Linked DNA regions of Caenorhabditis elegans. The protein of the gene in region 1 interacts with the protein of each later gene in a pairwise test. Each region holds a gene or a part of one and is shown in the gene's direction. Other genes may lie near its edges.

Evidence for each region.
Region 2: the proteins of clec-190 (region 1) and ugt-41 interact in a two-hybrid assay, tested with the Caenorhabditis elegans proteins (one large-scale study listed by BioGRID).

The regions. Positions count from the first base shown.
Region 1 is NC_003282.8:15,124,288-15,127,883, reverse strand, and holds clec-190 (C-type LECtin), read left to right. Parts: upstream 1-1,762; 5' UTR 1,763-1,775; coding exon 1,776-1,860; intron 1,861-1,903; coding exon 1,904-1,999; intron 2,000-2,068; coding exon 2,069-2,269; intron 2,270-2,434; coding exon 2,435-2,550; exon of another isoform or gene 2,551-2,557; intron 2,558-2,612; coding exon 2,613-2,689; intron 2,690-2,730; coding exon 2,731-2,784; intron 2,785-2,831; coding exon 2,832-2,904; 3' UTR 2,905-2,953; downstream 2,954-3,596. Other genes in the region: M199.9 (uncharacterized protein), read left to right, coding at 103-238, 286-377; M199.7 (PAN-3 domain-containing protein), read right to left, coding at 3,491-3,596.
Region 2 is NC_003283.11:7,160,276-7,165,352, reverse strand, and holds ugt-41 (glucuronosyltransferase), read left to right. Parts: upstream 1-1,757; 5' UTR 1,758-1,787; coding exon 1,788-1,937; intron 1,938-2,031; coding exon 2,032-2,112; intron 2,113-2,161; coding exon 2,162-2,300; intron 2,301-2,551; coding exon 2,552-2,761; intron 2,762-2,806; coding exon 2,807-2,946; intron 2,947-2,993; coding exon 2,994-3,226; intron 3,227-3,332; coding exon 3,333-3,469; intron 3,470-3,518; coding exon 3,519-3,604; intron 3,605-3,651; coding exon 3,652-3,884; intron 3,885-3,931; coding exon 3,932-4,106; 3' UTR 4,107-4,285; downstream 4,286-5,077. Other genes in the region: srh-83 (Serpentine Receptor, class H), read right to left, coding at 1-226, 470-628, 669-843; str-204 (Serpentine receptor class r-10), read right to left, coding at 4,337-4,476, 4,530-4,842, 4,971-5,077.

The DNA.
Region 1 (3,596 bases):
AAAAACCATTTTCCTCCTAATGTTTTGGAAACAAAACGCTCCACTTCCTGGTTTCAAATACTATAAAAACAGTGCACTGGAGTTTCTTTGTTATCCGTCAAAATGACTAAGTTGCTCCTGATCTTCCTTGTTCTGACTGCCTTCGTTTCTGCCTCATATTCCTATGGTTCTTACGGAAACCCAGCTCCGCAGTACCCCCAAAACTCGGGATATGAATACCAGATGGATTATGAGACTTGTAAGTGTGTTTGGTAGATTTTTATGATCCGAAACCCAATATTCCAGACGACTTGAAAGATTATCGCGGACCACGTGGATACCGTGGACCACCAGGACCACCAGGGCTGCCAGGAGCTCCGGGACCAGACTTGGAGTGATATAATTGACTATTGCTTTTGCAATTGAAAATGAAATAAATGAATCATAATTGGCAGTAGAAAAAATGGTACCCTTATTAAATCTGAAGCATTCACATGAAACTATAAGGGCATTGTGAAACAGGAAATGATTGATTTTCTGCTTTAACAGTCAACGTTGAAAACCAATCCTAAAACATAAAATTTGGTTGTAAAAGAATGAAAATCGCTCAAAGCGGTATCTGCGGCGCATAATTTCCAAATCAGTTTCATTTATTTTTGACGACGATTCAGAGGCTAAAAGTATCTACCTGATAACTACTCAAGTCGGGTTGATAAGTTTTTTAAGGAAATTATGAAACGGAATTTTTTTGTTTGGAAACATATTAAAATAGTACTTCTTATATCAAAATGTGTGTTTATAATTTAAAAATGAATTTCTTCTAATCTAAACAAATTTTTAATATTGAATATTTTTCCGTATTTCTTTCTGAAAATCTAATTTTAAAAAAACTATTTCTTTCTTTACATCAATTGAGAATGCAATTTGCGTCTGTATTTACAGCCAACATGAAACGGCAAGATTTAAAAAAAAAACATCAGTATCGTTGTGATCATAGCGTGTTAAGAACTTCTTTGCAAAACCAGATGAATTTTTGTTTTATTCAGGAATTTTTTTCTTGGTGCTACGGTAGCCGAATTTTACATACGAAGTTTGAAGTCTGAAGCATTCACATAAAACTATAAGAGCATCGTGAAACAGGAAATTATTTTTTCTGCTTCAACAATTAACGTTGAAAACCAGTTTGAAACCATTCAAGTTAGTTGTAAAAGTTTGAAAATTGCTCAAAAACGTGTCTGCGCCGCATAATTTGCTTATCAGATTCATTTATTTTTCGCCAACGATTCTCAGAATTGTGGCAACTAATCACTATTACAGACTAGTTTTTTGAAGACATCATGAAACTGATTCGTTTTTCGGAAACATATTAAAATAGTATTTTTATATCTGAATATTTTTTTTTTCATGCAACGATTAAGTTTTTTTTTCTTGAAACATCAATTGAATTATAAGAGCATGCTTTTTGAGAGTCTTCTTCTACTGATTGGAATCAGCAATTTTCGTCTATTTTTAAAGCCAACATGAAACGGCAAAATTAAAAAAACATTTTGCAGAGCAAGATGAATGTTTTTTTTTAATCCAGGGAGTTGCTTTCTTCTTGCGCTACGGTAGCCGAGATACCAAATCGATTAAAATCATGTGTGATGTTAGATGTCTAAACATACATGAGGTGTCCCCGGAAGTTAATCTTTACCAACGCTCCCGAATTTTCTATGTTTTCAGACATGGTTCGTCACTTCCTTATACAGTCCTGCTATAAATATTGAGCCCAAACAGATCCAGAGCATCGAAGAAAAATGATCAAGGCTTCTCTTGTTTTTTTCGCTTTCTTGGCTCTTGCTTCCGGAAGAAGACACCATTATGACTATTATGATTGTGAACGTAAGTTTTCTGAAAGCATAAAATTCGTAATCCTAAAATTCAGCTGAACGCGGGCCGCGAGGGCGTGAAGGACGTGAAGGACCACGTGGAGCTCAAGGTGCCCCAGGGCCAAACGGAACCGGATTTTTCTGGCCAGGAAGTGAGCAACTTTAAATATTTATTTTTAAACAAGGTTTACTGTTTCAAAGGATTATTAATTTATTTTCAGCATGCGAGCAATCCGATTGTCCAGACGGTTGGATCTCGGTTAATCGAAAAATCAATAATGATGTAGAAAAGAAATGGTGCATCAACATGTTCTGGAACCAAGCAACCAACGATTTATATAAAACCTCGGAAAAAGTGTGCAACAGCTATGGTGGTGTGATGACTGGATTCAAGGACAAGGGGGAATTCATTTCTGTTTTTGGTGAGTTAGGTCGTGGAGTATAAAATAGTTTTTTTTAAGTGTAACGACATTTTCCAAAACAAATGAGTTTTTGGATAGTCCATATTCCTTGCCTAAAAAAATCCTTGTAAATTGTTTACCCAAAAATGAAATTCCCAAAAAATATAAGCAGACAATTATTTTCAGCTCTACTCAAAAATCGATTCCCGAACATTAAACCTGTATCACAAGTTATGATTGGGGCACGCAGATTGGAGACATGTGCTTCGATATCGAATTTTGGCAATTGTACGATAACAAAGGTATGCATCAATCTACATGCTATATTGATCATTTGTTTTCAATCTACAACTGTACATTTCAGGGAACAAAATGGACTGATCTTGTAATGTCGATTGATTCCTTTTTCAATGAATTGCAGCAATCTGCCCGTTTCTCACCGTAAGAAACATCTCAAAGCGCAAATAAATTAATGTTTATAGATTGAAAAAATGTATTGTTGCCAATCCGACAAACTTAAAGTTATATGTGGCCAAGTGAGTTTCTCACTTATAATTATTTGATAACATAGGTATGCTTGCAGCTGCAACGTTTTGGAAAGTGACTATCCTCAGGATTTGTTCATGTGCGGAAGATTCGCTCCGTGTAAGAAATAATTTATGGAATTGTGTGTTTGCAACTATTCAAATAAATATGTCAGCATTCAATTTTAAAGCATTGAAAAATCTTTTAAAAAATTATGTCGAACGTCATAAAATAAGCCATCTCTCTAAAAATTCAGCACATTTTTTATAAAGTTGCAAGTTGAAAAAGTCAAAACTGAGCAGGCCCTCGTCTTACAAAGTTATTTTGCAACATCCGTCATTTAACGGGCTCCAACTTGTGCTTAAATGTGTCTAGCAATAATAAGAAAAATTGCAAGAAAGTTTTCATTTACTCAAACAAAATTGATCTAAAAGAGCAACATAAGACTTTGAAACTGGTTTGAGAAATTTCACTGCTACTATCAACAATATTTATGAGCCAATTCAACATGTTTTGCAGTAAAGACACGAGGAAACTTACAAAAACAAAAATTTAACTGCAAAATAAAATTGTCTTTCTAAAACTATTAAATATCATCTATTTTAAAGCATCTTTTGCACATATCGCATACGAAATAGGAGTAGTGAACGATGTTCCGCACCTGAATTTAAAGTGGTATTTTTGTTTGAAACATTATAACAACTCACTCGACATACTCTATCTTTCCGTCGTTTTCACCATTTCACCCACAACTACCATACACTGTTTGCCTTCTGTAGCGCCAGCTGAGGAATCAGTCATAAATTGATAAACATCAAAGTTT
Region 2 (5,077 bases), on another chromosome or scaffold:
GTGAAAAATTCTTGAGACGGGCATGGTATTTTGGTTAGAACTTGGAGTAGTGCGGAATTTTGATCTTCTGGTATGAAGAATAGTAAAGACATAGAATATATTAGACCCGATAGATAACGAACCAAATAATATATGATTTTAGTTCGGTTTTTAGTTATTTGGAATCTATTGAATAGAATTGAGTTGTGTCGGTTTTCCAAAAGCATTGTCATTGAGAATAACATCCCTGAAGAATTAAATTAAAAGAACGGCTCTTGAAAAAAGCGGCAGGTGGTAAAAATTCCAAATCAGCCTTAAAGCGCCGACGAGCGGAGATTATTCTGAATAAAAAACAGGCATCCGCCAGGCACGTATGCCTGATCCCTACACCGTTCCATTGGCACACTGGCTTCTATATTATAACGACCCGTTAATGTGTTTTTATAATAATCGACATATTTATATTTCTAGAATTCCAGGAAAAACTAACAATTTAAACTCTGAAACACAAGCCACACTTGGATTTTTGGAGGGACACGCAAAAAGTTGAGTAAACCGACAGAAAATCCTGAGAGAGTCGGGAAAAACAGATAGGGCGTAGCAAGTACATTGAGAAAAATGTCCACGAGACAAGTCCTGGAATACATTTCTCAAATAAAAAAATTTAAATAAAAAAATTCGATAGGAGCTCATTTCCTTTGGAGTTTTGTATAAAATACAGTATCCTCCAAAAATGTAGAAGGGTAGAGAAAATATAGTTATCGAATGAAACGTGTACGCAACTTCTTGCCAGGTGCACAGAAATGTGTCACATCTTGGACATTTCGTGTAGTTTGTCAAATAATATTCTCGAACAGAACCCATTTTTACAAATTGTGTTCTTGTGGTGTTCGCGTATTAACTTTTTATAGCTGTTTTTTACTTATAGGATGATTAAGAAAAAAGTTCCGGCTTTCTCAAAGTAAGGTAAATATTTTGAAAATAAAGAACTTGTAAAAGGATACAGCTAACTGATTAAAAACAAAAGACCCATGTTAGTTCACGCTCGGATTTGGAGTTCAGCTGGAGGGGAAAGAATTCAGCGTTGAAATATTTCAGTTGGAATTTCACCTGATATTATTTAAAAAATGTTATACGAAAATTGAAAAAGCGCCTCTTACCCCCTCTTCGCCCGCTTTCCTCTTGCCTACTGTGCAGTTTTTTGTCTTTACGGAGTTAACAAGTTGATAACCTGTTTAAGGACAACAGATAAAAACAGAGAAAATTAAAAACCACTATTGGCGATTTGAAATTTCCGTTCCCATTTTTCACTTTTCAATTTCAAATATGTACTTAACGGTTTCCGATCATTAACACGTAATCCATCATTTCTAGACAACAAGTCACACCAATGCCAATCAAAAGTGCAAACATGCTATAACGAATCTTTTTTTTCAATTAAACTGTTTACGATGGAAATTAGGATAGTGTCATAGCATTAATTTTCATTGTTCAAAAACAGAAAGAAGTCACAAAATCTTCACGTGAACATGTTTCGTTTCCATAAACAAATTGTATTTTCAAAGACAGCCGGGAATTTTCAGACCAATTCAGGTGACAACTATGGGCTACCACCCACCTAACTGTTTGTTCGCGATTATTCTGACTCACATCATGTTTTCAAAAGTGACTGTATAATTGGAGTGTAGCATAATCAACACAAACTACAGAATGGGAAATTTGTGACAGTATCAATCACATTAACAGATCTATAAAAGAGACTGGGAAAGTTGTTCAGAGACACAAATTCGTTGTCTACTTATCAAATCATGAACTTACTAATTATTTTGTTGCTTGTTCTTTCGATCTCGAATACTTCGGGATTCAACTATTTAGTAGTGTCTCCAGCTTTTGGACACAGCCATTCTACATTTATGGGAAAACTTGCTGATTCTCTAACAGAAGCTGGACATAATGTGGTACGTCTTAAATATTGAAATATGCTGAAAGTCTCAAAACCTTGAAAACAAAAACTAAAAGTATATTTGAGAACAGTTAATCAAATTTTTTCAGACAGTGCTCTCAATTATAATCTCATCCAAGTTTCGAAACATTTCCTACACAAAATCAACAAAAGACATAGTAGTCGTAGAGGTAAATTCAATTTGCATTTAATTTTTTTTCAATAAAAACTGCATCTCAGACAACAACAGAACAAGACCAACTAACCGAAAATATGGAAAATGACGATTTTGCAAGGTATTGGACTCAAGAAGGCACAATGTTGGAAACGATTCCCAGCTATTTAATGTTTCTCAAAATGGCTGAAGATGGCTATAAAAGTAAGTTAAATATGTGACAATGACATAAACAAGAAAAAAGAATTCATGAGCAACAAATTCCAAAAAGGGCATCATTTTTTAGTCAGATCTCTTTTTTTCTTGTTTCTGTCGTTTAACTGGAAAGCAATCGCTCGTAAAACGTTTCTCGAAAATTTTAAACATTCAGATTTATGAAACAGTTGTCATATTGACAACATCATATAACACCGCTTGAAAGATCTATGAAAAAATTTAAAAACCGTACTCTTCAGCTTTCCGAGACCATGCCCTACCGCAAATGGATTATCTGAAGAATAATCGACCTCAATACGATGCAGTTTTCTTCGAATCATTCTTTTTCATGGGGAAGGCAATTCAAGAATATCTCGAAATTCCAGTCTTCCTCCCAGTGACTTCAATCACACATGACTACAGATTTGCAGAACTTATTGGAGAACCTGTTAGCCCTAGTTATTTATCAGGCATTTGGATTAAAATTTTTCCTGTCAAACACTACTAATTTACAGGATACTTCACAAATTTTGGGAACATTATGAATTTCCAAGAGCGACTGACAAATACGATATCTTACTATCTTGGTCAAATTTTGATCGCATTTCCAAACTGGAAAACTCTTCAAGACCCATCAAAAGACTTGCTGGTCGAGGTAAGAAAGATCTTGAAACCAAAAGAGAGTTGTTTTCATAATTTCAGTCAGAATACCATCGTGCTCCATATGTATTCATAAACTCAAATCCTTATATAGACTTTCCACGTCCACTGCTTTCAAAAACTATCGAAATTGGTGGGATTACTGTAGATGTGAAGAAGCTCAAAAGTGAGAAAGTCGATGAAAAATGGGACAATATTCTCAAAAAGAGACCTCATAATGTGCTGATTTCTTTTGGATCAATGTTCAAATCGATTTATATGCCAGATTTTTATAAGTAAGTGAGCAATTATTTTCTGAATGTGTTTCATTCATCGAACTGTTATCTTCCCCCACTGAAATTTTCTTTTATATTGTTCAAAAACAAAAAATCTAATTTTCAGGGAAAATATGGTAAAAGTTATGAAATCCTTCAAAAACGTGTCTTTTATTTGGAAGTATGAATCAGAAGAAACCAGTTTTGCAAATGGAGCTGAAAATATAATTTTTAGCAAGTGGGTACCTCAAACGGCTCTTCTAGGTAAGTACTTAAAAATATCAAAAACCTTTTTGTCAGTCACTAATTTCAGCTGATTCCCGTCTCTCAGCATTTTTCACTCACGGAGGTCTTGGAAGTGTCAATGAGTTGAGCTACCTCGGAAAACCTGCGCTCTTGGTAAATAAGTGAAAAAATTACGAATACTCTAAGAATCCAAGTTTTAGTGCCCACTTTTTGCCGATCAAATTCGCAACTCAAAAATGCTCACTCGCCACAATGGATCAATTGAAATATCTAAATTTAATCTGGAAAACTATAATACCTTGCGATCTGCCTTGCATAGTATACTTTTCGCTGAAAGTTACTCGGAAAACGCAGAGAAATTGGCGAAAAAATTGGAATATCAGCCAACTAAACCTAAGGAATTGTTTGTTAGACATGCAGAGTTTGCAGCTCGGTACGTTTACAATAACATGTACAGTTAATAAAAACGTGGAATTCCAGATTTGGTGAGCAGCCGGCACAAGATAGTAATCTTCGAACTATGGGATTTGCCGCCTATTATTTATTAGATGTTATCGCATTCTTGACGAGTTTTGTTTTACTGGTAATATTTGTGGTATTCATAATGATTAGACAAATTGTAAAATTATTGACTATCAAATCAAAGCGGGATTAAATATTCTAGAGAAAAGTGTAGTGAATGTGAAAGTCTCAGAAAAATGTAGCAAATAAATACTTACCATGTAATGAACTAGGTAACAGTTACTACATTTTAAAACATTCTTCATTATTCACAATCCCTATTCTTTAAAAAAGCATTATCATTTTAATGAATAAATGTTTATTATGATCAACTGAATTCAAAATTTTATAAAAATTTGAAGCAAACACTACAATTGTTCCGAATTAAACTTGTGATTCTTGAATTATTGCATTACTTTGGGTAACTGCATCAGGTCCATCTTGAACAGTTGTTTCATCAATTTCAGGATTTACCGAATTTTTGGAACAGATTCCAAATTTTCGTGGCAACCATAAAATCCAATCTGAAATATTCAATGCTTGAATTTCAATTAATATTAATAAATTAATAACTAACTGAACACGACAGTTCTGTAATGTCCAATAATGAACATAGTGGGAAGTGGATCAAGCGTTGGGTAGAGAGCAATTGCCAATGGAGCGATTCCGCTGATGGATCCAAGATCAATGCAAAAGAACGCGGAAAAGTAAAGCGTAGAGACTGGAATATGCATTAAAACAATTGGGATGAGGGTTTGAGTGACAAGAGCAAAGTACAACTGCTTTTGAAGACGTCGATTCTTTTCAGACTTGCTAGTGTGTGGTACAAGAGAGTTGAGGATTGTGTAGCATTTTTTCCCAAAATAGATAATGGTTGCAATAGAAACATTCTGAAACATTTTCGGTTTAAAAATACGAAATCATTAAAAAAAAAGATTAGTCAATCTGATGGTCCACTCAACAATTCAATTCGACAATGAGCATTTCTTCAGATATCAAATAGTGTGTAAGAACTCACGATGATAACAGAGTTCACACCAATGCCAACAAAACTGGGCCAGTAGATTTCCAGATTTCCATTTTTGTCCAACTCATAAAAGTAGGGTGCAATGTATTCCACATCAT